Notamacropus eugenii: one gene and its partners. The protein of the gene in region 1 interacts with the protein of each later gene in a biochemical or structural test. Links are inferred from orthologs where the notes say so. Each region holds a gene or a part of one and is shown on either strand. Other genes may lie near its edges. The genes, in order: EIF2AK2, PRKRA, EIF2A and TARBP2.

Region 1 (7,809 bases):
ATAGCAGTGATAACTAAAGCCATGGGAATTATTGATATGACCAAAAGAGAAAAAAGAGCTAGAGACAAAACCTTGAGAGACACAGATATATAGGAGATGGGGGTACAAGTGTGATTCAGCAGAGACTAAGGAGTGGTAAGGAAAGTAAGAGAAAAAGTAGAAGATTGTGTCCCAGAAGTCAAGAGATGAAAATATCCAGAAAGGGAGGGGAATAGCAAATGTTGCAGAAAGATCAAGGATGATGAGGACTGAGAAAAGGCCACTGAAATTTAGCAATAACATGATCATTTGTAACCTTGGAGAGAGAAATATCTGTTGAGTGGTAGGGAGAAGAAGAAGATTTAAAGGGCCTAATTGGAAGTAAGAAATTGGGAGGTAAGGAGTGTAGAAAATTTTCTAGGACTTCAACTATGACAGGGATGATTGCTTGAGGCAAGTGAGATAGGGCCAAGTGAATGTTGTTTAATGAAAGGGGATATCAGCGTCTATTTGAAGACAACAGGGAAAGAGCCAGTGTATGAGGAGTGGTTGAAAATTAGGAAGACTGATGGGATGACCAAAAGGATAAACTCCTGGAAAAGATGGAAGGCAATGGAATCATAGGCATAAATAAAGTAGTTGGCACTGGAAAGAAGAAAGGATACCTTGTCCTACAAGACTATAGCAATAAAGAGGAGGGGAAGGGGTAATATTGAAGTGATCAAAGTATACATTTGGATAAAAAGGAAAGAGATGGAAGGATGGTTTCAATGTTTTCAGTGAAGTATAATGTCAATGTCCTCTACTGAGAAGGAAGAGGAATGTGGTAGGGTAGGTGCCTTGAGGAGAGAAGAGAAAGTTTGAATTATCACTGCTGGGATAATAATGGAGCGGGGAAAGGGGGGGAGACAGAAAGACTTCTCTGCAGTAGTGAGCACCCAGTTGAGATGGGATAACATAAATCTGTAGTGGGACCAATCTGATGATTTAGAGGGGTTTCACGATGTGAAGAAGAAGAGATAAAGATGACTGTAATCTTCTCAGTCAAGTGAAAGGCCCAAAAATCTGCTGAGTGAGAGGTAATGAGGTGGAGTAGGGAGTGGAGTTAGGGGTATGAAGAGAGAAGAGGTTTAAAATAGCTGCTGGAGGAGACAAAGGGAGTAGGAAGTCAAACCGAGATGAAAAACAGGACTGCCATTGATCAGTGAGGACTCAATTGAAATTAAGTAGCACTAATTTGTAGAAAATGCAGTCAGCAAAGTTTTGTGACTTTTGTTTCAGTACTAGTTAGCAACACAGGTTCACAGAAAGCAGATGGCAGGGGTAGGGAGGTACCTAGAGAGGGAACATTGGAAGGATGAGGGTTGGGGGATCAATGGGTACAGGACAGTACATTATTATAATGGCTAACCGCAGGGCCAATATTGTGAAGGGAGGCTGGAAAATAAAGCCAAAACAGGGGTGATAGAATGGGTAAACAGGTAAGAGAGATGAAGTTGAAGAACAGGAAAATCACATTCGGGAGAAGTGATGTCACCACCGCCCTTCTAGTACCTCAAGTTACAGAATAATCCTTGACTCATCATTTTCCCTCACCTCATATCCAATCAGTTCCTAAGTCTTCTTGATTCTTTTTTTTCAGTTTAAAATTTTATTTTCAACATTTATTAAAATTTTTTTTGAGTTCCAGATTTTCTCTTTCCCCTCCACATATGGAGAAGGCAAGTTATATATGTATTATACATGTGAAGTCATGCAAAACATGTTTTCATATCAGCCATATTGTAAACAACAATAACAGGAAGAAATATAGAAATAGTGAAAAAATGTATGCTTAATCTATAATCAGAGTCCAACAGCTCTCTCTCTAGAGGTGGATAACATTTTTCATCATGGATCCTTTGGAATTGTCTTGAATCATTGTCTTGATCAGAAAAGCTGTCTTTCACAGTTGACTATTGTTATAATATTGTTATTACCGTATACAATATTCTCCCTGTTCTGCTCACTTCACTTTGCATTAGTTCACGTAAGTCTTCCCAGGTTTTTCTGAAAGCGTCTTGCTAGTGATTTCTTACAATAGTATCCTATTACAATAGCATTACATTAGTAACAGTATTATAACAGCATACCATCACAGTCATATACCACAACTTGTTTAGCCATTTCCTAATTGGAAAGAATCTGAGTCTTGAATGACTCAATTGCATATGAAGAGGCCAGTGTGACAATGAACTTGACCACAGAACTCTAATATTTTTGTCATCAGTCATTCATCTGTAAAAGACTCAAAGGGAAATATAACTGGGCTGAGAACTGTAATTAAAGGTAAAGTCCCTCACTTAGAGAAGCCACCTCTGGCTCCCGAAAGATTTTCAAATAATGTAGGATGAACTTCCCCCATTTCTTTCCTAGAGTGTTCTGCCAATCCTAGGCTGAGTTATTGTTCTTGCTGAGAAGAGCACTATGCTCTTCAAAGAGCCAGTTCAATTGAGAAGCAGAGCAACTCATCAATCATTAATGTCCTCCAGAGAAACAAAGGGCATAGAGGAACTGCAGTTTAGGAATTGTGGGTTGCTTTGACCATATATGTTCCCAGATGTGTGGCTCTACCATTGTACTTTAGAATCACACCCACTCTTCACCCCAAAATTCTGTGCGTATTTGTGAATGAATGCACCCCACATTTTGGTGGAAATACTTTGTAACCACTATTTTTGATATACCATATAAATGAATGACTTTGCAAAGAACTGAGTCTACTGGCTGATTTTTAAAGGCAAGAACACTGGTGGGGGCTTATGAGGAAGTCCTCCTCTCAACAGAGTTTCCTCTAGAACTCTGAGAGTAGCAGCCTTAGCCTGTCCATACCTATGTGGGTGGGGGAAATGAGTTCAGAGGAGGGTGCTACACATGGAAAAATATATATATTCAATTTCATATTTAAAGCCCATTGTAATCTGGATACGATCCGACTTCTGAGAGTCATTTCACATTATTCCCCTCTACCTATTTTATATTATTGCCAAACTATACTACTCTATATTCCATCTCTTCATTCTATACTTTTCTATTGATTATGCCTCCTTTCTGCCCATCCCCCCACCCAGTGCATCCTCATTTATGTTTTTTAGAATCTTTAGTTTCCTTCAAAGCTCACTTCCTACAAAAGCCTTTTTCTCTTCCTCTAGTTTTTAGTGCTATCTTCTTCCTTAAACCATCTTGTATTTCTGTTTCTGTTTACATATTGTATAGCCTAGTGAAATATAAGCTCCTTGAAGGCAGAGGCTGTTTTTCATCTTTGCCTTTGTATCCACAGAAACCTAAACAGGAGCTCTGAGGGAAATCTTACTAGAAATGCATATCAGTTACTTTGTAAACTGTAGTTGGCTGGTTCCTTGAGAGATTAAATAACTTGTCCAAGGTAAACCAACCAGTATGTTTCATAGACAGGACTTAAACTCACTCCCAGGGCAACTCACTATCTGAGTTTTGATTCTTGAAGGTAGAGCAGTCATATTGAAACATGAGAAATTATATTTACGTATGAAATCTAAGATACAAGCAGTCTCTGGATGGCTTGAGAAGATGCAGAGATGGAGAACATGGGAGTGGAAGCTGAGGAATTGACCTGAGAATGAAGGGCCATCACTGAGAAGAGTAAAGTCATAAAAGACCATTGCAAGTTTAGTGGAAAAGTTTAGAGAAGAAATAACATGTCAGGTGCTGAAGTTACTGAGGAATGCAGATGACAGTCTTGAAGTTTAATAAATGGTGGCTCTAGGATATACTTCAAAGGACAGTTGGTTAACTGATAGAGGGTCAAATAGTAGCAGTTGGAAGAAAGAGCTTTGCCAGCTCCTCCTTCTGGACTTATGGTATATATGGCATATATGTGTGTATATATATAGACACCACAGTATTATGTATATATGTATTACTATATATATAAGAGCACATATGTGTATCTATGTATGTGTGTATGTGTGTGTAAATATGTATATGTATACACTACAGTACATTATATTATGTATATAGTAATACTGTACAGAAACAGTACATATGTATATGTGTATACATATGTGTGCGTGTGTATGTATAACAACTGAGGAAGCACTCATTGGCCCTCTGTCAATAAGAGGAAAGGAGAAAAGCAATGTGACCAGTAGTTAGAGGAGAGTGGTGAGCTACTTTCTGGGGAAAAAAACCAAACCAAGCTATTTTCTGTTTGTATCCAGAGATGGTAGAGGAGAGCTTGAGCAGGAAGGAGAATTTGTTTACAACAGAGGCAGCTCCAGAGAGCAGTTTGAAGAGGAGGCTAGGATCAATAAGGCTCAATAACCTGAGAGAGGTAGTGGAAAAGAGGGGACTTCCTTAGGCCTGGGGTAGCAACTAAAAATTATTTGGTATGCCGTTAAATTATAGGAATTCGCTAGCCTTAGGGCAAACCTGTGAATTCATTCCAACAGTATCTTTTGCTTCTCCAGGGTTTCCGAATGCTGGGTGTTTGAGTGTAAAGGACTAACCCTACAAATTCCTGCCGAATGCTTTGAATAAAGTACGAATGGATAGGCTTTAAGCGGGCTCCACTCTCCCCAAATGAGTTAGAGAACTTCTTGTCTAATTGTGGGCTTGCCCTCCTTAAGCCCCTACCATGTGCCAAGCAGAGGGGCAAACAAGCAAACCCGAAACTCCCTGACGTTAGGGGGTGGGGGAGGGACACCCAGATTGCTCTTCAAAGACCCGTTTGCCAAACTCTTTTCCACCTCTGTGCAATCAGTGGGATCCCTACATTAAATACATTGGCATCCTGTTGCCCTCGGGCCACACTCGGCAGGGCGGCCCCGAGCGCTGAGGAGGCGAGGGTCGCTAACTCTGGTCCCTTCTCCCCAGCAGAGCTAACGGGGGGCCGGGCTGTCCGACGTGGGGCGGAGTCTGGGCGGAAAACGAAACTGAGAAAGCCCTAAATCGAGAGATTTCGAGGAGCAGCCGCTGTGCGCCGGGAGCGGGGCTGGAGGTGAGTTGGCCCGGGGTCCGGGGAGAGGTTCTGGGCTCGAGGGGAGCACTGTCCTTGGGGGATAGTGGTCCGCGGCTCTGTAGCGCGCGTGTGCATGTGTGTGGGGTGCGGGTGAGTCTGACCACTGTGCAGCCAGGAGCTTGGACAAGCCCTCGGACCCTCCGGGGAGGCAGCCCTTGAAGGCCCCGGGTCCCCAGAGGAGGCCCCGGGCTCCCCGAGCAGCCCCGGGGCCAAAGTGCGGGCGTGCCGGGGGATGACGCAGTGACAGGAGCCCCGGATCCATCGCGGTGCTGACCCTCAGCGACTGACGCTGATTTCGGGTAAGCCCCTTTGCTGCTCTGCGCTTCAGTTTTCCCATCTTTAAAATGGGATTTGGACCAGCCAAGGTCAAGTCCCCTTTAGCTCTAGTCGCCAATCAGTGACCCACAGATGCTCAGCCATTTCTGGAAGAAATGAGATTGAGAACGGAAATGAAACTTAGAGGTAAAGTAAAGAGAAGAGCTGTAGAGCTCCGGAAGGGTCGTGGATGGTGATGGCTGGTGAAGAGGGAGCAGAGAGAATCAAAATAGAGGACAGTCCAAAACCCTCGCTTTTTCGTGTTTCATGGGGACAGACAGATGAATGAACACGGACGGGGGCTCAAACCAGGCTTGTCAGAAGGAAGAGGACTAGGGAAGCTAGAGTTATTCATAACCTGGATTATCAGTTAATGACAAATAATTAATGCTCACTTATTAATTGATTCCTGGGCGGCAGGCATTGCACTAAGTACTTGGTATATACAAGGGGAGCAAAAATAGTCCTTGCCCACAAGGAGCTTACATTCTGGCAAGAAACCATCATATAAATTAATAAGTACATTCAACATTTGTCCAAAAAAGATGGAAGTTACTTTAGAGGGGAAGGTTCTGGCAGCCCAGAGTAGATTAATATTGAAATGTGTTTCCTGAAAGTTCAGGAAGATACATTGATTGAGTTATATTCGTACAGAAGGCAGTTGGAGGATTTCTGAACCTGTAAGTACTTTTGCAAGCATTTGATTTCCATCCCCATCCTGCACCAACATCACTATTTTAATTTGTTTAGAAGTATCAGAGAGGCATCTAGGTGGATAGAGGTGCAGAGGATAAAGTCCTGGGCCTAGAGTCAGGAGTACCTGAGTTTAAATCTGACCCTAGATAGTTACTAGCTAGTTGACCCTGGGCAAGTAACTTAATCTTTATCTGCCTCAATTTTCTCATCTGTAAAATAGAGTTAATTATAGTGTCCACCTTACAGGCTTGCTGTGAGGGTAAAATGAGAAAATATTTGTGACAGTGCTTTACAAACCTTAAAATGCCATGTAGGATGCAAGCTATTGCTATTATTAAAAATACATATTTTACCAGACTCCAAGATTTCATGTTCAGATGGAGTCGAATTAAAAAAAAAACTTCCCCAAAACAAAAGCAATCTAATTGCCCAGTTAAGGACCCCTCCTGGACCCTCTAGTTCTCTCTTAGCCTCTTAATCCCACAGAGATAGATGTTTTCATTTCAGTCACTGATCAGCAGGATCCATTTTACTGAGAAAGGATGGCTCTTCTGTACTGGAAGGACTTCTGTATACCTTTCTACCTATCATACCACATCAGTAAGTGTCATTTATGGACACTGTGGTAAATGCACTTTCCAGTAGGAAGATGTAGTGCAAAGATGATTAAACTTGGAGTCTGAAGACTTGACTTCCAGTCCCTGCCCTGCTATTTATTAGCTGTGCAGTTTGGGTAAGGTACTTTGTCTCTATGACTATCTACTAAATGAGAACTACTAAATGTCTCTATCTACTAAATGAGAACTTGAATTAATCCTAGGAGCATAGATCCAGAGCTGGAAGGGACCTTAAAGGCCAACAAATCCTCTGATTTTACAGATGAAGAAACTGAGATAGAGAGGTTAAGTGATTGCCCAAAGTCAATCAGTCAATTAGTACTTGTTAGTCATTAGATACTATGTCAGGAGAATCAAATGAGATGCTATGTGTGGGGTGCTCTACAGCTATAACGTCTGATGTAAATATGAGATGTTATTATTGGCCTGTAAGGTCCAAGGTACGGGTGAATGAATGCTAAGTTAACCAACACCTTGTAAAATTTCTTCCTCACAATAATCCTATGAAGTAGGCGGGGCTCAGGTGACATCATTTTCAGGAATTGAGGAACTAACTGAGACTGAGAGAATGAAGGAGTCTTGCCCGAAGTCTAAGAGCTTCTGACTAAGCTGTGCTAAGTGTAGCAGTTGGTGTAGAGGAAGGAATCCTGGTATGCCCCTCTTAAGGAAAGCCCTTCCAAAGAAGGTTTGATCTTTTTGCTTTTACAAGGCATTAGTGGATTGTTGTTTTCTGAAATCCAAAATGACTTATATGGTTGGAACTGCTCTAGTGTCATATTGTTTTTTGAGAGGATTATTATGATTAATAAAAATGTATAATTAATAATAATAATATATAAAGTCAGAGAGATGTAGTAATCAGGGTGCTATCCTCAGAGTAAGGAAAGCCTGAGTTCAGGACCTGGCTTTGTGATCCTGGTTTTGTGAATGAAATTTAACAAAAAGATAAACCAAGACATGTTTCTTCAAGTAAGATAACAGTTTATTAATAGGGCACTGTACCTGTTAATGAAAGGGTCAATGGCTACCTACCTCAGTTTCTAATTAAAGACCAAGAATTAGAGATGCAGCTTCTTTTTTTTTTTATAAGCATAAAACAAAGAACAGCACAGGTTAGGTAAAGAGATCATAGCATTGGTTATAACATTGGCAGCATCATAGTGC
Region 2 (7,560 bases), on another chromosome or scaffold:
TCTCTAAGTTCCTTCTAACTTCTAAGATTTTATAATCAATAGTTTCTGAAATAAGGCATTTTAAGAAGACAGCTTCCATTTTTACCAATAAAATGAGGTGGGAGTAAAACAAGGGTGTGTTAAAGGGGAAGAGAGGAAGGAGTGATTCAGTCAGCAGAGAGATGAAATTATCTTTTATAGGTACTCTGTTGATTTCTGGTCCTTGGTCTAAATTGTACTGAGATGTATGGCAGTGATTGTTAAACATTAAAAAATAAAAAAAAAATAAAAAAAATAAAAAATAAATAAATTGTACTGAGAGAAAAACAGAACTATTGCTTTTTTTTCCCAACTGAGCTTATATATAGTTAGCTTGCTATCTTACATTTATATAGTTCCAAACTTATGATTTCATTAGTATAGGAAATTTCCAGTAAGAAAACTCCATCAAAATGGATCTGCAACTCTAATTAGAGGTGCCCAGAGCAGGGAGAAATCAAACAATTTGCCCAGTATCACAGCCAATATGTATCAGAGGCAAATCTTGAATCAAGGTCTTCCTAACTCTTCATCTACTATGCTATGATGACTCTTTATGGTATTATATAAACAATATCCCAGAAACAAAGACTACCCAAAATAGCCTTGCTATTTTTTTGGTTTGAACACAGAACACATTTAGCTCCTATGTTTATTTTGTGTTTGACAGAGCAAACTGTCTAAAGTTTACTCAACAAGACAGGTGGTACAAACATTTTGATTTTACACATTAGTAAACTGAGGCTCATAGTGGTTAAGCTCTAACTCCTCTAGTCACACAATCAATGTTTCATAAAGAAGGGAAAAACATGATTTTAAGCTTCTGATTACTTTCAATATAGATTCCCGACCAAAGTTCCTGATTTACTAGTTTATCTCTAAGTAGATTTACAAACTGGTGTCTTGGCCTTGTATGGGAGGCAGCAAGGTGCAGTGGAAAGTGTGTGGAATTTACAGTCAGAGTACTTGGATTCATATCTTAACTCTGCTACCTAATGTTTGACTTTGTGCTTGTCACATAACATCTCTGGGCCTCAGCTGCCTCAAGTATAAAATGAAGGGATTAGACTACACAAGCTTAAAAGTTGCTCTCCTCTCTAAGACTCTACTTTCTTTTTTTTGCCCCAATTCCCACCTGGGGGAACAGTGATTAATTCTCCTCTGCTCTCATCAGGGATCTACATTCTACCTCAGCTCCTATGCCCTTTCACCAGAGTTCATACATTTCAGGAATATGAAATGCAGCTTCACCTCAGTAAGAAAAAAAACAAAAAACTGTGACCTCTTTAATTTTTAGATGAATGGATCATAAAACTTGCCAATTGCATTTGGATTTATTTTTCTTACATGTATTTTTTCAAATAAAATGCAATGTGTTTTTCTGTGTGTTTCATGTTCAAGAAATTAACGACTGGAATGAATAGAGTATTCATACTTAACAAACAGGAAAATTCACATGTAAATTCTCTAAGTTCATTGCCTTTCTTTTCTTTGGATACAGAATGAGATGTTTCACTGGGCCAGCTCTAGCTTGGTAAATAAACAAGAATATGCACTGACCTAGGAAAGCTGAAGGACTTTCTAAAGTTCTGTGGGAGAGAAGAGAATTCATATCCACTTTCCCTTGAGTTTAACAAGTTGCAAAGTGGAATGGGAAATGGGAAATCAAGGTTCCAGTAGGGGCTGTGAGCTTGGACACATTATTAACAACTATCTCAGTCCCCAGGGCTACTTTAGGAGAACCTGCTCATCTTTAAAGACTCTCCAGTTCTGATTCTGAGGTAGCCTAATGGAACCATTAGAAATATCTTAGGGAGCAGGAGGCCTCCATGACTATGTCTTCAATTGGACTTCTGAAGGCACCTGGGGGAGAGGGGGAGGAAAAAGAGAGAGAGAAAATGAGACAAAAGGATAAAGTTTAAAATGTCTTTCTTCTGACCTAAGTTGACACTTTTCCAGTTCCAATATTCTCCTGGGGTATCTTCCCAACGAAGGCGCTACAGCCTGTCTTTAGGACAATGCTCTTAATAGTGTATACAGACCTGAGCAGGTTATATCGCCCACGGTCACTCTGAAGGTGAAACTTGGCGTACTGGCATGTCCATCGGCTCTTTCAAACTCATACACGGGCACGTTATTGGTCTTCATGCCGTACTCATGTAACACCTGAATGGGTGTTTTCCCAGGTTTGGCTGTGATCATTTTCCCCAACCTGCGTAAATGAGAAGGTCGTCTGCTAGAAATGCCAAAGGGGGGCTGCGTGCTTGGGAGAGGCCAACCAAGTAAAGATTTTCAGTTGTGCAGAGGGGGCCCTAAAGCTAATGGAAGGGAATTCACTTCTCATTCTTAAAACTAGAAAACGAGGTGGCTGCACCTCTTTGGAGTTCCGAAAAACGAGGCCGGCCCGGCGCGCGGGGGCACGCTCCGAGTTCCTGGGCTGGCAGGGGCATGGATCAGGAGGGGGGAGGTTAGCGAGGGTCAGAGGGAGAACGCTGGCTCCAGCAGCACCTGCTCAGGGAAGCAGGCGCTCCGAGGCTCCGCGGGCGTCCTCTGTCTCAAGCCAGTCGGGGCTCAGGTAACCCGAGCTGCCTGGGGCTTCTGGGAGGCGGCAGCAGCGGCTCTTCCAGCATGACCCGCCCACGTGGGGGGGGTGAGATGGGGGAGGGAGGGAGTAGAACGCTGGAGGGCGGGGCCTCTCCCGGCTCCAAGAGGTGGATGGGGGAGGGGGAAGAGGGAAAGAAAGGGAGGGGGCACCCTTACCCAGAAGGCAACTCGAAGGCTTTCTCGTCCTCTCGGGCCCCCTCCCCTCCTTCCCCGCGAGGCCCTACCTGGTGTCCCGCGGGCCGGGCAGCTCAGGCCGGGCTCCGCCCGCGGACTGACCTGAAGGTGCCGCTGTCCGGCGGGGCTGGCGGCGAGGTCGCGGTGTGCGGCCCGCCCTGGGGCATGCTCGGCCGGGAGGCGGCGGCGGGGGCTGCCGGCGGGGCTGGGGCCGCCGCGGGGGCGGCGGGGGGGGCTCGGGACCGGGGGTTCGCTCTCCTTCCCTTGGGCGGCCCGTCCCCAAGAGGGGCCTCTTTGGCCCCCGGGGCCGCCGTCGCTGTGGCCGTTGCCGTCGCCGTGGTGGTCGCTTCCCGTCCCCCTCTGCCGCCGCTGCTGCTGCTTCTGCTTCAGCTGCCTCCTGTCCCTCTTCTCCTCCTCCTCCCCCCTCCTCCTCCGCGTCCCTGTTGTGGTTCCGGGGGGCGGGGGAGAAGAGGAGGAGCCGATGGCGCAGCCCCCCTCGCTCCCCCCGCCGCGCCCGCACCTGCTGCCGCCGCGGCCCGGGCCCCCCGCCCAGCGCCTGCTCCTAGTAGCCGGGCCGCGGCCGCCCCAGACCTCGGCCCCCAAACGGACCTTCCGTCGGGAGTCTGCGGGCGCGGGCCCCACGCGTGCGGTCATTGACACAACGCCCCCCCGCCGCGGAGCCGCGGTCGGGGCCGCTGGCAGGGTCCTCATTCTCTATCCGGGCATTTCTGCCTCGGCCTGAGGAGAGGGCACGTCAGGGCCGCCATAGTGGGAGCGCTCCGCTGCCCTTCTCCCCGAGATCCTCCAGAGTGGGCCTCCCGCGGACACGCAGTGGGACTCCCTTCCTTCTCTCCTCGCTTAAACCCCACGGACGTTTTCCATCCCGAGATGTGACGGAAGCATGTCCGAATGACAAATGATCCCCCTCTCACTAAAAACATGACCTCCCCTCCCTTTCTGTATAACCAGCGTTTTCCCGAGTCCCACACGACGTCCTGAGCCCGGGGGGCCCAAATCCAGGGAGCCCTGGGCCTGGGGGCTTGCCGGGCCGCACGCCAGGACGTCGTGGCAGAGCCGGTGCCCGCAGCCGAGCTGGACTTTGGGGATGCCAGTGCGAAGGTTGCACCGGTCCCTCCTTGCAGCGCACTCCCCTTTCTAACGAGTCAACTGTCGCCCTCCCCTCCTCCTCCGCTTCCTCCGGGCTGGGCAGGAGGCATCCCTATCCCTGCTCGATCCAGGTTCGGTCCGGCTGCGCTCGCGAGCCTGGCTCCCGGGGCTCCCGACCAACCCGCGGCATTAAAGGGATTTCCTCTTTTTAAAAAAAAAAAATCCTTCTGGTCGTCGTCTTATTTTTATTACCTGAGGCTGAGCAGAGTGCGTGTAAGCCCTGAGTTATAAAAGGTTTTGGAAAACCTTTGGCACTCTTCCTGGGCCGCCCCAAAGGAGATAGCCATCGTTGTCAAACAATGCTCATCGATTGGCGTCTCTGGCCTCCCTCCACTTCTGGGCTGCGTCCCGACTGGGGACGATGCCCCTTCTGGTCCCAAAGGTTGGAGGGCTTGGAGGGCGATGCTCTCTCCTGAGCCTCACCTCTCCACCTCCGACCGTCCCTTCAAGGAAAACCTGCAGAGGCCCTTTAGAACCGGGCTTTTCATTCTATCTACTTAAGCAGAATCCAGAGAGTAAAAATCCAAGGTGAATTGATTAGACAAGAATATGAATCCTGGGACTGTGCTTAAGGCAATAAAAAGGATCCCGCTGTGCGCTAAAAATGTTCATTTAATATGCATCCCCTCCGTCCCCCACATTATTGGGGTTTTTTTGCGTAGAAGAGGGTAAGATGAGATACATAAGAAAATCAAAGTCTTTAAATTGCTCCCAGATGATTCCTTTTCTGTTGCTCAGAATGGCATAACTTACTGCCAAAACTGGCATCTTTAACTTGTAAGGGAATTTCCTTTGGCTCAGTTCCACTGAAGATTGTATGCAGGGCTAATGTTTGTCATTTTAATCTTCAGGTCTTGGCAATGTAGCCTTCAGAACTGATACTGTATCGGACCCATTACCCTGATCATACTTCCTTACCTCTGGCCCTAACAAGAGACATTATTGCCACTTAATATCAGTTTCTTCTGTTAGCTTTTTTAGTCATATAGAATGGCAGTGGTGGCGCTTCAGTCTTACCTTTAACATATCAGTTTACACTTGATGTATAATTCATTATGCTGAGTACATGAAGCTGAAAGGGATCAGTGAGTTCTGCACACTGGAAACTAGTTAGTGAAAACAGGTTATTTTACTTTTCTAATTAAGTGTATAACTGCATTTAAAAATTCATCCTTGATTTAATTTTGTTCATAGTAATTTTCTGTAATATACTAGCCTTTTGAATATGGATTTAATATCTGAAAGTTGCAGTTGATGAAGTATTTTATCATTAATATTATGTTAATATGTTTGCTGCTGCTACCAAGAGCTTTGTTAAGCAAGTTGGAGATGGAGGGAGATTAGTTCCGGTTCCAAGCCTCAGTGAAGCTGACAAATATCAACCTTTGAGCCTTGTGGTTAAAAAGAAAAGATGCTTTTTGTTACAGAGAGCTAAATTTACCTCAACACCTTTCACACTGAATGATATTCTCCTAGGAGACAGAGAAATTTCAGCTGGTAAGTTTTTCAATAGCTTTTTTGAAAAGCCTGTTTTTACAATAACTAACTAGTCTTTGTACTATATTAGTAACCTAAATACTGATAGTATGTAACAGGAGTAGCATGATTTTTGTTGATAATCAAATTTTTTTGTTGAAATAGGTATAATGATATTAGTAAAAGAAAGAATGTTTCAAATTTACATAGTGTCAAATCCAATAGGAGCTTGAAACATTTTCAAATCCATTAAAATGCATGGAACTTCTCAATCTGGCATCTCTTTTCCCACCACTCTCGAGTGCTTTGTTTTTACTTATACCTGTACTGTTTACATCTTTCCCTCCACTGAGGGAGTCCACTGAGTAGATAGTAAACTTCTTGTGGGCAGAGGCAATTTTCATTTTTATTAAGTTCCTTGCTTATCACAGTGCCTGGCTCATTGTAAGTGCTCAATAAATGTGTATTGAATTGAATTTTTAATAACTTGTTTTGCCAAATCAACTTGCATTTCATTTTATAATAATATTAGCTAAAGTTTATTTGGTGCTTCAGAGTTTACAAAAAACATTTTACATATTTTATTGACTTTGGTGCCAAGAGCTCTGTGAGGTAAGTGCTATTATTATTTTTATTTTATAGGTAAGGAAACTGAGACTAAAAAGGATAAAGTGACTTGTCATTCCTTACTAGCCACAGCTGGTAAGTGTCTGAGGCAGAATTCAAACTGGTCTCGATCCTAAATCCAGGGCTTTATCACTATGTCACCTAGCTACTTCACATACTAAAACAACTACAAAGTGGGAATGATACCTATCTCATTATCCGATTAAGTTTGTGGTATGCACTAAATCAGATGACGAAAGGGATTTCGTTATCATAAGGAACTCTTTTTCATTTATGATACTGTAAATAAATCCTAAGAAATTGCTTAAGGCACATAGAGGTTCAATGATTTACTTAGTGTCATACAAATACTATAATTATTATATTAAACATGCAGAGGCAGCTATGGTGGTTCACTGGATAGAGAGCTGGTACTGGAGTCAGAAAAAACAGAGTTCAAATATGACCTCAGATACTTACCTGCTATGTGACCCTGGCGGCAAGTCATTTAACCTCTGTTTGCTCTCCACTGAAAAAGAAAATGGAAAACCACTCCAGCATCTTCGCCAAGAAAACCCTATGTACATCATTGGCATGCTGTGGTCCATGGAAGTCCCAAAGTCAAACATAACTGAACAACAACCTAAAGATAGTAAGGATCTAGAGGCAGAATTTGAATACAGGTTATCCTAACCAGGGAGGTAGGTGGCACAGTGGATAGGATGCTGGGCCTGTAGTCTGGAGGACCTGAGTTCAAATCCAGCCTTAGATACTTACTAGATAAGGGACCCTGGGCAAGTCACTTAACCCTGTTTACCTCAGTTCCTCATTTGTAAAATGAGCTGGAGAAGGAAATGGTAACCCATTCCAGTATCTTTGCCAAGAAAACTCCAAATAGGGTCACAAAGAGTCAGATGTGACTGAAAATAACTGAAACATCCTAAATTCAAATAAGCACTAATATGCTGAGCCATATATTGCTTATGTAGAAGCAAAAGCACTTTGAAATGGATTCATTATCATATCTATTTCTACTACCACTACTTATTGTTGTGATACCATTGTTGTTTTTGTCATGTAAGTTAAGTTATTGATATATTTATATAATATATATATGTAGCCTATTTTAGTTTTTTAGATTTTTTTCTTGACCTAGTTGGAACATAGAAGAGTTTGAATTGGTATTTTAACAACAGATTGTTACTTATAATAAAACACTCTCACTGTCTCACTCCTTCAATCTCTTTTCATGGGATATTTTCCTGAGTACAAAGAAAAGAATATTTATTATTTAACATTTAATAAATAGAATTTATATTTTGAAATCTTGGTTTAAATTTTTGCTATTACTTTTATAATTTATAACCTTGGGGTTTTTTAATATACTTTTAAAACAATCATAGTAGTTAGGTAAGAGACATTTAAAACACATCAGTGTTCTTTTATTAAAGGTATCTCATCCTACCAATTACTGAATTATGAAGATAAATCAGATGTTTCCCTCTATGGAAGACG
Region 3 (7,327 bases), on another chromosome or scaffold:
GAAAAACTTTGGGAAGTCAACTTTGTTCCCTCAAATAACAGATATTAAGCACCTCACTCAATTACATGAGACATATGAATGATAGTACATCTTGATAAGACTGCCATCCTTACATCCACTGACCTAGTCTAACCTGCACAACAACACTGTCGCCTTTTTGTTCCTACTAACCTACTTTAGGTTCCCATTACGTATCAACTTAAACTAATGAAACTAGCTCCTAATAAGTCCCCCAGTCTCTGATTCCAAGCCAAACCCAACAATATGGTTCTGTATATTACCCTATCCCCAAAACTCCACTGGCTCCCCATCAACTGTAGAATAACTTCCATTTCCTCCCGCTCCAGGATACTTCAACCTTATAGTCCACTATTCTTTCAAGTCCGCTAAATTAGATGACGTATTCCTTGGTTTTCCTGCTCTTGCTGTTTTCTTTACTTCTTTACTTGCTTTCCTTCTCCATCTATCAAAATCTTGCCAAGTATCTTTCAATTTAAAGGTCAAACGTAAACACCTACCTCTTGATAATACCTCACATTGGCTCTGTTGAGCATTTATCAAGTGCACATATGTGAACTGAGATAGGGAATGGATCAGTGATCTCACTTGTATAGAGGGAAAAAACTATCATTTCTGGGTGAGAAACTAACTAAAGTGAAAATATGTAGATATGTATGTGGATATGCTCCCCTCTGATGAAGACAACATTCACTGGGAATAAATCTTATTCTCTCCTTTATAGAGTAAGAGAGTAAGGCAAGTGACCTGCAGAGCTGGAACAAGAATGGGGTCATCCAATTGTCAGGCCAGTGCCCGTCTTAGTAGGTCTTGTGCATGAAGCTGTCCCTCAGCCTTCCCACCAGCCAGTGCTTCCATAGCACTCTGCACACACATACACCATTTCACACAATCTCTTGTATTTTTCCTAACAGACCTGTTACTGCATAAATGTTCTCATCTTTTATCTCTCTTATTGCTGACATTTATATAGCTGCTTGAAGGTTTGCAAAACATGTGACAAACTTTATTTTGTTTGTTCCTTACAACAACCCTCTGAACATATATTACTGTCATTTTACAGAAGAGAAACTGAGGCACCGAGAGGTTATGACTTCCCTATGGTCACACTAGTGATAAGTGTTTGAAGCAGGATTCAAAATTAGGTGACATGACTCCAAATCCTCTATATCATTCAGAGAACACCTCTGTCAGGGAGAAAAGGTGGAACTATGCTCCCTTTCAGATGGCTGTTGTCTGCTGACTTTTGCTTCTTCATAAATCAATTATCCTGAGCCTGTTCCAAGGGCCTACACTTATTTCCTTCTAAATTTTATTTCTTTGCCTTCTGCAGGCCTCCCCTCTCCAGGTGCTCAGTTAACTACTCACTATCCCTATGCCAAGGAGTGCCCACCCCAGAGTAAAGCTGACAGAGCCTCTCTCAATTTTTTAAAAACCATTTATAAAGAATTCATTTTTAAAAACAAACACCTACTGCCTACTGGGCAACTGGCATAGAAGCAGTGACAGAGCAGATCTTGAGAGCTAGCTTTGAAGCCAGGCTGACCCTAATTGAAGTCCCCCATTGTACCATTCCGTGTGAACCCTGGGCAAGTTCCTCAGCCTCTCGGTGCTCTAGATCAAAGGGGCCCAACTGGAAAGCTGTGGGCACCCCCAACCAGAAGAAATCTAACTTGGAAATGTTTAACAAAATAAATATACAGCTTAACATAATGTAAATCTGTGGTTTTCTAAGTTAACATGTGGTCACAGGGATCTGATCTATTTGAGTTTGCTGCCAATACTCCAGACAACGCTCTACCATATGCTGTGGTGAAAGTGCTCAATTACACTGGCAGAGGAAGTAATGTAATCACGGATTCATCTCCTATCCCTATTTTTCCATGCCAGGCACTGTGGGCAAAACAAAGGGAAATCAGACCAAGTTCTAGTCTCCTGGGACTTGAAATTAAAAAAGGGCAACATCTTGAACACTCTGCTGCCACCCAAAATACTCAACAGAAAAAGAGTTCATGATCTTGAGTCAATATGGTGTAAGCAAAAAAGGAATAGATTGAAAGGCAAAGATTTCATGTTCTCAGCCCATCTCAGCTATCTGAGAGCTGCGTGACTCTGAGAAAATGTGGAAAGCAAAGAACGTGGGCCCTGGGGCTTTTGACCCTCTGTTCTTGTTCTAGGCCATAAACCCTGCCTCTACTCCCACAGGTTCAGTTCTTTCACCCTTTTTCTTTTTTGAACCCCATTAATATTAACTAATGTAGATGTCAATTAATCACTCTAGATTAACAACAACTGCACTTTGAAATCAGAAAACCACTTTACACTGTTTCATTTGATCTCACAACAAACCTTTGAGATCCTGGCTATTCTTACTCTTGTAATGACTAGAAGTGACTGGAATCCAAGTCCAGCACTCAATCAGTGATGCTCCGGGTAAACGACCGCAGGACCCAGGCTGTGTCTTTTCTATCACAACACGCAGAAGAACCAAAGTAGGCATTTAACTGTAACAAGGGCTGACGATTCATTAGCCCTTCTAGGTGGGTGAAGCACTTTACACACGTAATCTCACTGGACCCTAAAGAGATTTCCATTCTTTTCTAAACGAGAGGAAACTAAGAAAGGTGACTACCCTACCCAGGCTTACACGGAGAGTGGGTCTCAAGCAGGACTCGAGAAACCCACGTCTTCCGGACGCTCAATTCAGCACCCATCTGGTGAACGCGCGGTGGAGGGAGAGCTGGCCCAGCCTGGCAGACCTGGGCTCCCGCGGCACCTCCGACGCATCCTGGGCATGTGGCCCTGGACCAGTCACTTGCCCCGGCTCTCGGAGGTCCCAGGTCAGACACCAAACTGGGCCACCGCGGACCGGCCGACACCCTCAGGAAGGTTGCCCTATGATCGTCCCTATGGCCGGGCTTGGGGGTGCCGCCGTCGGCCGTCCTCCCTCCTCCACTGACCGCGGGGCCCACAGAGCTGACCAGTCACCGCGGGGGGAGGGGACGTGAACCTTCTGCTTCCTCAAAGCCTCAGCTAAAATTCCACTTTCTACACAGTCCTGTCTAGTCTTCGGGGTCTTCCCTTCCGTCGGGGACTCCCCCTCTCCCCCACCTCAGGGATAGTGTCTCCCGCTCGCGCACGTAAAGAGTTAATTAGACGCGGCAGTGAGCTGGGGGAGGGGCCTTTCCACGTGCCACCGGCTGTCACCCGGGGTCAAGGACCTCAGAGCAGCTACGTGTACCTGCGGCTGGCCCAGCCCCGCGGGGCGGGGAGGGCGGGGGGAGGGTCCCGGAGCCCCGGCCCCACTCCCCTCCTCTCCCCACCCTCCCTCCGCCCAGCTCCAGCCCTCTCGGAGCTTCCGCGGGTCTCACTTCCGAGTGCCACGCGACACGTGGCGGGGACGACCCCCGAGCCCCGGCGGCGCCGACCGCGCGGGCGGGCGACCCCAGCCCCAAAAAGCCCTCGACCGCTGCTGCGGCGAACGCGGGCCCACGGGCCCCCGAGTCTCCGCGGCCCCCAGGACCCACCTGCCAGCAGCGGGGTGGAGGGCGCCATCTTGTCCCGGAAAGAGATCTCCGTCCGTCCGGTGGGACGGGTCAGAGTTCACGGGGCCAGGGGCCGGCCCCTGAGGGACCTACACGTCCTCGCTGCCGCGGAGGCGACGACGTGGTTCTTCCGGCGCGGCGGGGCGGGCGGGGGGCGGGGCGGCCCCTGATAGGCCGGGGGAGGGGCGCGGGAGGCCCCGCCCCCGAGGGCTTGGCGGCCGCCTGCGCACTTCCGCGAGGCGGGGCCTCCCCAGTGCTGACGTTGGCAGCCGGACGCCGCGGAGCAGCCCGGAGCCGCCTCTACAAATTCGGCCAGTGCCTGCGGTCTTCCCCTTTCTCCTCGGCAGCTTCGGGTCCGGACGAGCCGCCCTCTTCCCTGCAGGCGCGGCCCCGCTGACAGCGCGCGCGCGGCCTGCCCTCCGTGCCCCGGCGCGGCGGCTCTCGCGGTGACAGCCGGAGCGGAGCGCCCCCCGCCCCCTCGGCGCGCACGCGCACAGTCTCGCCAGCGGCCGGCCGGAGCTCGCGCCCGGGGCCCCCAGTCCGGTGAGCGCGGCCCAGCGCGGCGGTAGCGGCGGCGGTAGCGGCGGCGGAGGCGGCCCCGGCGGGCCCCGGGCGCAGCGAGCCAAGATGGTCGCCAAGCAGCGGATCCGTATGGCCAACGAGAAGCACAGCAAGAACATCACCCAGCGCGGCAACGTCGCCAAGACGTCGGTGAGGCGGCCGGCCCGGGCGGGGGGCGGCGGGCGGCGGGCGGGGGGCGGGGCGGGCAGGGGCGCCACTAACGCCGCGCCTTCTCGCCTTGCAGAGGAACGCCCCCGAGGAGAAGGCGTCCGTGGGGCCCTGGTTGTTGGCGCTCTTCATTTTTGTGGTTTGTGGCTCGGGTAAGTGTCGCCCACTCGTGTCCGCGGCCGGGGCGGAGAGGGGCCCGGAGTCCGCCCCTTCCGTCACCTCCAGGCGCTCGGAGGCCCCCCCGCCCCCGGCGCCATGGCCAGTGGTGATGGGAGCCGAGCAGCCTCCGCGGGCGCTGGTGGGTCGGGGCTTTTGGGGGGCCCTGCCTCTGACCGCCCCCCCCCCCCCCCCCGATACGTCCCCGCTGCCCTGCGGCCCCGGGGCTCGGCGCAGGTACCCGCCGGCCTGGCCCTCCTTTGGCACCGGGCAGCAGCCGGCGACGAAGCTGGCGGTGCCAGACTACCACCCGTGTGGTTTGTAAGTGACTTTGGGTGGAAGTGGAGGATCTGGACCTGGGAAGGGCTTTGAGCCATTCCAGACCCGCTGTGGGTCCGTCCCGTCCCCAGCCCGAGGAAAGCCGAGTGACCTGGCCAGGGTGTCGCCCCCTGGTCCTGGGCGTTCTTTGCTCCCTGCCTGCCTTTCCTAGCGTTTAAGGAACCTAAGAAAATCTCACTTTAAAAAAACGTTCACCTAATAGGAGTATGTGATTTGTATTTCCTTTTTATTCTTCTGTGAGAAATGGAACTTGAGGTTTTAACGGTGCTTTGGGAGAAAGTAGATCGCCTCAAATGAACACAAGTTTTTAAGAATTGTCTTCAAGCGTTATTTTAATATTTGCCTCTTCTCCTTGCAGCAATTTTCCAGATTATTCAGAGTATCAGGATGGGCATGTGAAGTGACTGACCTTAAGATGTTTTCATTCTCCTGTGAATTATAACTTGAACTCATTCCTGATGTTTGATACCCTGGTTTAAAAACAGTTCAGTAAAGCATCCTGCCTCAGAATGACTCTTCATGTCATCCTTCATGTGTCATTCCCAGGTTCCTTCACAAGTCATTCCAAGTTTTCTAGTTCATACCACAGTGCCTTGAGAAGCACCACATGTATAAAGCAATAAAATTTGATTGTTGATCTACGATGGTGGACCCGACTTATTCAGTCAAGTATAAATTCTCCTTCTATGTGATTCTGAAAACTGTATGCAGTATAGATACGTAGACTAAATCTGTATAGACAAAAGATCTTTGATTTTTGTTTGCCCTTTAATGTATAAATGCAGTTAGTCTTAATTTAAAATTTGGAAGCTGATTTTTATATAGCAGCTAGGCACTTTATTGCTGTCTTTCATTGAAAGCACATTCATTAGGTAAATTTAGCAGTGCTGTATTATGGTGCTTATAAATGGAACACCTAGATGTAGTTAGCCTAGTTTCCTTCTTCCCCCACTCCCAGCCATTGGCACCTGAAAATGAAAAGGCTTTCACAATATTACTATAGAGGGAGATTCTTAGATCCAGAACGTTTATTTTAATGAGGTTATTACTTTTACACTACCTTGGATTTCACATGATTAAATAAACCTAAGAGGCCATAAAAAACAACCTGATGAAACATTCTGTCACCTCCTTGGTTACTGCAGTTTCTTTGAGGTGATAATGTGGTAGAACCTGTCAGTGATGGCTTATAAGTGTTGTGTAAATGTCACTTGAATTGTTCGTGTCAGATATTAAGGGTATTCACCACAGGTTAGTATTCGCAAGTTAGCCCATACTAGTTAAGCAGTGCACTATGGCATAACTTGGAAAACAGGTATTATGACAATTCCACTACTCATTTATCAGGTTGTGACATGCTGTTGAGTCCAGCTGTGCCTTAGATCTCATAGCATGTTGATAGGACTTTCAATACCAAAAAAGAAAAAAGGCACACCAACTAAATTAAGATCAACTTTAAATCTACTTTTTTTAGACTTAAGATTAGAATTCCCCTGTAAAGATGCACATATGTAAAGTTGTATTGACATGTTGTTGCAAAATACATTGGGCTTAATCTTAATTCACCTTGAAGTTAGGGGTGTGATACTTGATATTTGGTTGCTATCATTTAACCTTTCCTGTTACATTGAGGATGGGAAGAGCTAAATTTTGAGCTTGAGAAACTTGGAAAAAACCCAGCCACTAATGACTTCCTCTCATTGATTGTAGTTATAGGGAACCAGTGAACAAAGCTTGGTTTGCGTATTAATGAAAATGGCATATGTGGTAAATGGGGAAGTGGCTTTTACTGCTTCCTAACCCCTCACTGATGACATCTGGACAAGACTGTAACGAAGAAGAATAATTGACAGGATTCTCTTAACTAACTTCCAGGCTGTTAACCAGAGGCAGTTAAAGTAGCAAAGACACTGGTAGTGAAGGTGTAACAGAGGTAAGTAAACTACTCCTGTCTTTTTAAAAGAACAGGAAAGCTGCTAGTACTGGCATTTGGCCAAGGTAGATAGGATTCTATCTCCTTCATTAGTTGTATTTTTTGCCCCTTCAGTTAGCATAACCAAGTCCCTGTTTGTCATTTGAAGAAAAATGCCTTCGTTAACAGATTCTACTACTATAAAAATGCAAATTTTTGCTCTAAATTTGAAGCAGGTGCCTTAATTTTGTTTTGAGTCAAACCATTCCATTGCAAATTTTTTCTTGCTTTAGTACTGTTGTCTTCAAATAAGTATTTTCTGTTTACAGTGTCTTAGTGACTAAATTGACTGTTAAATTGGTGTACAAATTAGTCATTTCACATCTGTAAAAAAACTCCATTCCCTTTGTATTTACATATGTAATTTACCCACTTTATGCATTTTATATTAAGCAATTTATGCATGTTTGGTTAAATGAAAATCTGTGCTTTTTGATTGGTTTGCCCCCATTAAAAATAAAAATACCCTCAGTATTTGATGCATTTGTAAAGGAAAACAAAACCTCATTTAAATGTCTGATTATTAGATGATAAAATGCTTTGTATTATGCTGTTTAAGTTAAAGGAA
Region 4 (7,815 bases), on another chromosome or scaffold:
TTGTCATGACTGTGTCTAAGGGACAGAAGGTAGGATTCAGGACTCATTGGTCTCAGTTTTGGGATCTGGTCTTGCCATTCATACTTGGTACCTCTATTTCCCTTCCACTTAGCACCAAGAAAAATCCTATTTCCTTGGGATCATGGCTGGGAGTCTTACTAAAAGTTCAATGTAGCACAACAACTATAGATGAAGTGATGCTTCCCATACCCAGCAGCCTCAGTTCTTTGAAATCCTCAGAGAAAGAAAAAGGCAGAAAGGAAGGAAGACACAGGAGATGGCACAGAGTAAGGGTAGGGAGGGGAGACAAGAGAAGAATGGAGATCCCCAAAGGAATCTGATGGTTCTTTCTTCTGGATTCAACTCTACTTGAATCGTTATAAGAGCATCTCCCCTCCCCCCTCATCTCCCTAAAGGGCTCATGAAACAGATGGAGGTTGGGTCTTTAGGGATACCCCTGGAATTACAGGGGTAGCAGAGGCTGGACAGTAGATAGAGTGGGGAGGAGCCAAGGTCCTTGCTGGCCACCTGCCTCCCCCAAGATTCTTTCAGGGGTCAGATTTCTTGTCTCCCTGGACTGAAAAAGGAAAGAATAGAATGGGTTTTGAGGACAGCCAGGGCTACTAAGAACCAGAAATCCAAGGTTTGTGGAACAGAAGGAAAAGTCTTATTAAGGAAAGAAACTATCTAGTCCAATCTCATCATTTTACAAATAAGGAAACTGAGGCATGGAGAGATTAAATATGGCTAGTTAGCAACAGACCAGGATGTCCAGGCTCTTAGGTACATCATTCTTTCTGTTATACCATCTTCTGTCTTTCTTCCTTTAATTACAAATCACCAAAGAATGAGCTGCTACCTTAAGGATCTCCAAGCACTTATATAACTTCCTATGCTTTCTTTCCTGCCGGTCACTCCACTCCAGCTCAGACATGCTGGTTGTCTGGCTGTGTGGCGGTGTGTTAGTTGGGGGGACGCATTGGGTAGTTGTGGGAGGGGAGTAGCTGTGGGAGTGGAAGTCTGCCTCTGGTAACCCCAGTTTCCAGGATGGGCTGAGGGACAACAAACACTGTTCTCATCCCCTAAATGAAAAACAGGCTTGGAAGGAAGTAAGCATTTGCTGTGTGTAACAGTAGCATCCAGCATAGTTAGATACTATGCTTAACACTTTACAAAGATTCTCTCATTTGATCCTCATAATCATGGGAGATAAGTGCTATTATTATCCCTACCATACACAGCTATACGGTGCAGTGGATGGAACAGTGGGCCTGAATTGGACCTCAGACACTCACTAACTGTGTGACTCTTGGCAAGTTACTTCACCTCTATTTGCCTCAGTTTTTTCAACTACAAAATGGGGGGGGGGGAGGTGCAGTAATAGTAGCACCTACCTCCCAGAGCTGTTGTGAAGATCAAATAAGAGAATATTTGTAAAGCTCTGGGTACACAGTAGGTGCTATATATATAAATGCTTATTCCTTCTTATTTTAGAGTTGAAGAAACTTCAGCAGCAGCAGAAGTTAAATGACTTGCCTGCGGTCACACAGCTGATAACTATGTGAGGCTGGAGTTGAACTTAAGTTATCCTGACTCTAGGCCCAGGGCTCTATCCATTGGGCCCCTAGGTAGGGCTCTTTACAGGAAACACTGAAAGCAGTTGGGCAGAGGAAGCTAGATTTGGCCTTTTTTCGTACCTCACTAATCCAGCTGTGTCACCAATCTGGCTAAAACCCCATGTGTTCAGAGGCTGAGAAAGGACAGAGTTTAATTCAAAATAAGGGTTGTCAAACCTGGAATCAGGGCAGGTGGCTCTATCTACAGGGATACTGGTAGGATCTGGGAGAAATCCTTCACTGTGGCATCGAGGTAGAGTCAGGAGGACCCCAGTTTGAATCTTGCCTCAGACATCTGGTAGCTCTGGGGCCCTGAGCAAGTCACTTATCTTCTCTCAGCCTCAGTTTCCTTATCTGTAAAATGGGGGATAATAACAGTATGGAGCTCCCAGGGCTGTTGTGAGGAGCCAATAAGATACATGTACAGCACTTTGTAAAGCTTGAAGTGCTATAGAAATGCCAGCTATTATTCCTAGCCTGACAGAAAACTGGGTTGCTGGAGAGAACTCAGCTGGATCTTTCTTCCCACCTAGAAAGATAGGCTTGCAGGGTCAGGGAGAATCCCAGCGTCCCACCTAGAGATTCGGCTGCTCTCATCCCAAGGAGTTGGTGAATCTCTGCTCCCGGGGTGAGGCACCCCCTCCCTTCTTAGGGCCAGCTCCTTCCCGGCCCCTCATGCCCTACTTCCTCCGTTTGGGAGCCTTCCCCCTCCTCTGTGCTCCTGTCTTCATCGAACCCAAGGCCGAGGCCAGGGGAGGGATGAGGCGGAGAATGGATGTCACATTGGGGGGGGATGCAACAGCTGGATGGAGGAGGGCTATCCCGCGGGGAGCCAGGCGCCAGGGGGCCTAAGGTCTGGGCACCCAGGAGCAGGTGCCTTCGGTGCTGCAGGCTCCGGCTCTGCCCTGCCAGGTGCGCCAGGCCTTGCCCTGCCCTTCCCGTCTCCCTCCATCCTCCTCCATCCACACTCGGCTCCTCTGCCGGTCCTACCCCCCCCCCCCCCCCTCCCCCGGCCTCCCGCCCGAATCGTCTCCCCCGGCTCTGCCCCAGCCTCCTCCTCCGATCTCCACCCTCCCGCCCCCACCGCCCTGGGGCTCCCATCCCCACAAGCTCGCGGAGCCCCCCATCCCGCCGCGCCCCGCCCCTCCGGGCCGCAGGACCCCCCCACTCCGCGGCGCCCCCCCGGGCCCGGCTCTCACCTGGGGGGCTCGGCCGCGGCCTCAGCACAAAAGGCGGCGCTGCTGCGGCTCTGCTCCGGATGCTGCTCTCGGCTCCTCGCCTCCACCCCTCCCTCCTCCTCCTCCTCCCTCCGCCCCCGCCCGCTGCCCCTGACCGGAGCCGGGGCGGTGTCACGGGCGATGCTCCGGCCCGCCGCGTCCAGGGCCGCGGCTCCTTCCCCCGACCCCCACCCCCCCCCGCCGGCCCGGCCCCCGCCCCTGGCCCTCCGGGACGGACACGCCCTGAGCGGGGGAGATGCGCCGGGAGCCGCCGGCTTCTTAAAGGAGCCCGCTGCTCCCTCCCCGGCCCAGCTTCTAGCTCATCCCCCCGCTCCTGGAACCGAGACCCCTCCCCGCCCCCTCCCCCAGCTCCCCCCGCAACTCGGGTATTGGTTCCCGCTCTGCCTCTCCCCAGGGCCGCCCCCCGCGCCCCTCAAGTTGCCTCTCCAGTCCTCGGGGTCTCCCATGTCCGCCGTCCTCCCTCCAAGACTCAACATTAGTCACAGAGCACCCCTTTCTTCCCCCCCTCCCCTCAAACTCGCCCCAGCTCTCTCATGTTCCCCCATCACCTGGGTCCAGCCAGGCCTTTTCCTCTGCCTACATCCCAGCCTGACGGGATCCCGCTCAGGACCCCTCGGGGCACATTTTTTCAACTTCTTTCCCCCCACACAGATGAAAATAAAAACGGTCTTCCTTGCTTCCCCTCTGTCCCTTCTTTTCCTCCAAGACCCCCCTCATCCTAGAGCTCAACAAAGGAAGCTTTTGGATTCAATGGGAGCCGCGGCCTGGGCCTCTGGGCGGACTTCCTCCAGACCTCGTTTGGACCCTCGGGCCCCTTCTTTCGCCGGTCGGCCCGAGAGGCTTAAACCCGTACAAAGATGGTTGGCTGGGGTTGGTTAGGAAGAGGAGGGGTCTCCATAGCTCTTCACCCTCACCACCCCACTCCACTTTCCATCCACAGCTCTAACTCCACTACCATGGACAGTCCCCGAGTGAGTTTCCTTCCATCTTTCTCTAATTGGTCTTTTGGCCCAAACGCTTTCCCCTCCCATCGCAATCCTGTACCCCCCAGCATACTGGTTCCCCGGGATGGGTGAGAGGGAATGGCTAGAGGGCAGGACTTCTCCCTTGCCCTGTTGGCACCTCTCTTTCAGGCTTCTGGGGACAAAGGAAACACGAGGAATTTGGGGGTCCTCTGGGAGGGGATGGGGTTACTTGGTGCACAGGAGTTTACCCAGGCAGGGTCAGGTGAATGATGCACCCGGGGGGGGGGGGGAGCGGGGAAGAAAACAAGGACTGGGGCTCAGAACACCGAAGCAAGAATGGGGTGCGGATTCTGTAAACTGGGGGACGCGATGGATTTCCAGGAGCGCTCACTGCCCCCGCTCCCCTCCCGTCTCCAGCAGGAAGCCCTCACTCCCCGGCACACTGCAGGGTTCTGCCGGCTTCTCCAGGCTCCCCTCAGGGGGCGGGTCCCTCAGCCAATCACAGGTTCTCCTGGGAAAGAGTCCATAGCGCCCAATGTTCCGTGGTGCCCCAACCCCGCTCCCCAAGTCTCTGGTCCTCTCGCTTTTCCCTTCGGCTCCGAGCGGGCCAATCGCAGGCAGCTGGCTCGGAGGGAGTTGGCAGGAGGAGCCAATCGACGTGGCTGTACCCGTGGCGCGTGCTGGGCACCACCCCTTCAAGGGGAACTCGCTCAGCGGCCACGAGACTTCTGGATCTTGTAGTTTTCCAGGCTCCGCCCATCATCCTCCAGCACGCATGCTCACAGCATCATCCTCGCACACCGAGGAGGGCAAAACAGTGAGCGAGTTTGGGGGGGGGAGGACGACTCTTCCCAGAAGCCACTGCGACCTGGGTGGGCTAACTCCCCCGGAGAATTGTGGGGCGGGTAGCCTCGCTTCTCATGGAGGCCAATGGAATGGGGAGGATCGAGGACTACAAGTTCCGGCATGCTCCGCGACGCCCCCCCCCCCCCCCCCCCCCCCCGCCCACCTCTTTCCCCCGGCCCCGGCTCCGGCCCCGGCCCCAGCCCATGCTCGTTGGCGGCGGCGGCGGCGGCGGCTCGGGGCGCGCGGAGCCTGCAGTCACGGTGGCGCCCGCAGGGACGGAGGAGGGAATGAGTGAGGAGGAGCAGGGTTCCGGGATCATCACAGCCTACGGACTCCCCAGGTGAGTTGGCCGACTCACACTGACCCCTGCAGGGCGGAGGCCGCAGTGCGGGAGGGAGGCGGAGCGCGTAGACCCAGCATGCACCGGGTCTTGGAAGGCTGGGGCTGGGGGTTGGGGGTGAGGAGGGGTGGTTAGCCCAGCCACGGGACGGGACGGGACGGGACGGCACTGCGGTGGGGGGGGTTATTCCCAGCAGCCACCACGGCACGGGCTTTTCTGTTCCCACCATGCACCACGGTGGTGGCTGCTAAGGACCCACCATGCACTTGGGTGGAGGCTACCCAGCTTTCAGCGTTTACTTGATTTCCCAGAATGCCCCGAGACAGCGGCCCCCTTTGTTCCCCGCATGCCCCAGGGCTGTAGGCCCTGAGTTTCCCATCATGCACTTGGCCGGAGGAGCCAAGGATGCTAGACTCGGGGGCATTGGCCATGAGCCCTCTGTTCCTCACTCCCTAAGGGCGCCCAGGGGGTGGTCGTCAGCATGCCCCTCCCCGCGCCCTCTGGCTCCCCTCCCCGCCTCTGGACAGCTGGTGGAGCTGCTCCTCGCCTCCGCCCCGATACCCCTGGGCCCCTAGCCATCCCGCACCCCGGGTGCCAGCCGGCAGTGCCCGTCAGTGGGGGGTCCGAGAGGGACCACGATGCAGGCCTGTGTACCTCCCCCTAGTATAGAGCAAATGCTGGCGGCCAGTCCCGGCAAGACCCCAATCAGCCTTCTGCAGGAGTATGGCACCAGAATAGGCAAGACTCCCGTGTACGACCTCCTCAAAGCCGAGGGCCAAGCCCACCAGCCCAATTTCACCTTCCGAGTCACCGTCGGTGACACCAGCTGCACTGGTGAGGGGGCGTCGGGTGCCCTGGCCAGGGGTGCGTGTTCTCAGGACCTCCACCGGGCTTCGCCTGGGGGGAGGGGCCTTTACTTTCCTCCCAGGGGCTGGGGGCGGGGTGTCTGAGCCTCAAGTGCTTCTGAAAGTCAGCTGGAACCAAGAGCATGCTTAGGTATGGGGGAGGCGGGAGGAACTTAGGAGCCTCCTCTTGGTCGGGGTGTCATCTGCAGCCCCAGAGGGGCAGAATGCTGTCAGACACAGGGATCACCTGATTTTACTTAAGTATGCTTCTCCAGAATAATGAGAAAGAGTTCTTTTGGTGGGAGGGCACTGGAAAAGGATAGGTTTCTTAAAAACATCGATGAAGTATTTTTAAAGGACTGAGAGTAGATTGTGAGATACTAGAAGAGATTAACAGACACTGCTAGGGAAGTGTCTGTCTGGAATGGCCTGATTCTAGTCCTGCATGGTGGTGGGTGGTGGGGGTAGCAGGAGATGGGGATGAGGGTTCTTCTGGCTCTTGTGTAACCTGCCACCCCTCTCCCAGGTCAGGGCCCCAGCAAGAAAGCTGCCAAACACAAAGCAGCTGAGGTGGCCCTCAAACACTTGAAGGGAGGAAACATGTTGGAGCCGTTTCTGGAGGATGGAAGGTGAGGTGTGTCCAAGTAATTTTTGAGCCCTTGAGAAAACTGCCCTACCCATCTGAGCACCACTTACTACCTGAGTTAGTAATAGGCAGTTTGATCTCTCCCACCATCTACCAACAGCTGAGTCCACTCCCAGGGCATAAAGAGCTGTTTAGTGGCCCCTCGAAGGATCAGTCCTTACGGACCCTGATTTAGGGTTGAAACTTGAGGTCTTAGTCTAATAGGGGATAACCTCCAAGCAAAACTCCTTTTTCCTATTGTTTACATTAGACTGTGAAGGAGTCTTAGTACAGTGGTCATTCACATTGGCTGAGCCGAGCCCCTATTGAGGGGCCCTTGTTTTAGTCATGTCCAACTCTTTATGACCCCATTGGGGGTTTTCTTGGCAGACATACGGGAGTGGTTTGCCATTTCCTTCTCCAGCTCGTTTTACAGAGGAGGAAATGGAGGCAAACAGGGTTGAGTGACTTGGCCAGGGTCACACAGCTAGCCAGTGTCTGAGACAGGATCTGAGTTCAGGAAGATGAGTCTTCCTGACTCCAGGCCTAGTTCTTTGTCCACCACTGCCCAGAGAAGAGGTCCTTAGGGAGGGTAATTGTTTGAGGAGATTGATTCCCACAGGGACCTCTGCCCTGTCCATATTTCCTCTTCTCCTGCCAGTCTAGACACTTCTAAAAATGCTAAATCCTAAATACCTCCAAAATTCTAAATACGTCTTTTGGCTCTTTGAGTAGAAAAACTTCCCCATTCCGCTGAGAGGCCATTGGCTCTGTCTTCTTTTGGGCTTCCTTCTGATGGGTGAGAAGACAGTACAGGATGGGGAGAAACATGTTCCCCAGTCCTTGGGAAGTTGTCTTCTTAGAATGCCCGCTCTCTGCTGATACCCCTGTTGCTGGGCCTGATTCACACCCCACCTCACCTCAGCAGCAAGCAAGGCTTCAAGGAGTGAAGGGAGTTGGGAGTGGTTCACCTTCTGCCTTGGGCAGGTCTTTTCTGAGCCCCAACAGGCTAAGACTGAAACCAAGCCGCCTGTCTATCCTTGTCACATAGTGAAGTCCAGCAATGCTGGGGGATGCCTGAGGGGAGGAGTGGTGGAGCTGATACCAGCAAGTGGAGTTGGGGGCAGGAAGACTGCCATGTGTCCTCAAAGAGATGGGCTGTTTCTGTGCCCTACTCTTTGGGACTAGAGATAGTTGGCTTGACCTGGGACAGATGGTACCTGTGACTTTCTCTCCTCTCTTTGGTCAGAACATGTTCCATATTCTCAAATCTAAAGTCTAGAGTTCTTCAAAATAGCTATTTCGAGGGGAGCAGACAAGTCTTCTATGGTGTGGGAGTC

What was found.
Region 2: the proteins of EIF2AK2 (region 1) and PRKRA form a complex in vitro, tested with the Homo sapiens proteins (3 studies listed by BioGRID and IntAct, with this or other methods). The link is inferred for Notamacropus eugenii from reciprocal best matches to the Homo sapiens genes EIF2AK2 and PRKRA.
Region 3: of the proteins of EIF2AK2 (region 1) and EIF2A, one has a biochemical effect on the other in vitro, tested with the Homo sapiens proteins (4 studies listed by BioGRID, with this or other methods). The link is inferred for Notamacropus eugenii from reciprocal best matches to the Homo sapiens genes EIF2AK2 and EIF2A.
Region 4: the proteins of EIF2AK2 (region 1) and TARBP2 form a complex in vitro, tested with the Homo sapiens proteins (2 studies listed by BioGRID, with this or other methods). The link is inferred for Notamacropus eugenii from reciprocal best matches to the Homo sapiens genes EIF2AK2 and TARBP2.

Annotation. Positions count from the first base shown.
Region 1 is NC_092872.1:541,934,135-541,941,943, reverse strand, and holds the start of EIF2AK2 (interferon-induced, double-stranded RNA-activated protein kinase), read left to right. Parts: upstream 1-4,800; 5' UTR 4,801-4,996; exon of another isoform or gene 4,997-5,316; intron 5,317-7,809.
Region 2 is NC_092876.1:241,651,485-241,659,044, forward strand, and holds the start of PRKRA (interferon-inducible double-stranded RNA-dependent protein kinase activator A), read right to left. Parts: upstream 3,013-7,560; 5' UTR 2,964-3,012; coding exon 2,899-2,963; intron 2,874-2,898; exon of another isoform or gene 2,779-2,873; intron 2,769-2,778; exon of another isoform or gene 2,505-2,768; intron 2,231-2,504; coding exon 2,061-2,230; intron 1-2,060. Other genes in the region: PJVK (pejvakin), read left to right, coding at 5,250-5,460, 6,082-6,141, 7,497-7,560. UniProt on the Homo sapiens protein: Activates EIF2AK2/PKR in the absence of double-stranded RNA (dsRNA), leading to phosphorylation of EIF2S1/EFI2-alpha and inhibition of translation and induction of apoptosis.
Region 3 is NC_092877.1:339,451,380-339,458,706, reverse strand, and holds the start of EIF2A (eukaryotic translation initiation factor 2A), read right to left. Parts: upstream 3,002-7,327; 5' UTR 2,733-3,001; coding exon 2,666-2,732; exon of another isoform or gene 2,656-2,665; intron 1-2,655. Other genes in the region: SERP1 (stress-associated endoplasmic reticulum protein 1), read left to right, coding at 4,191-4,274, 4,369-4,444, 5,146-5,186. UniProt on the Homo sapiens protein: Functions in the early steps of protein synthesis of a small number of specific mRNAs. Acts by directing the binding of methionyl-tRNAi to 40S ribosomal subunits.
Region 4 is NC_092874.1:226,512,924-226,520,738, forward strand, and holds the start of TARBP2 (RISC-loading complex subunit TARBP2), read left to right. Parts: upstream 1-4,808; 5' UTR 4,809-4,868; coding exon 4,869-5,005; intron 5,006-5,669; coding exon 5,670-5,869; intron 5,870-6,376; coding exon 6,377-6,479; intron 6,480-7,815. UniProt on the Homo sapiens protein: Required for formation of the RNA induced silencing complex (RISC). Component of the RISC loading complex (RLC), also known as the micro-RNA (miRNA) loading complex (miRLC), which is composed of DICER1, AGO2 and TARBP2.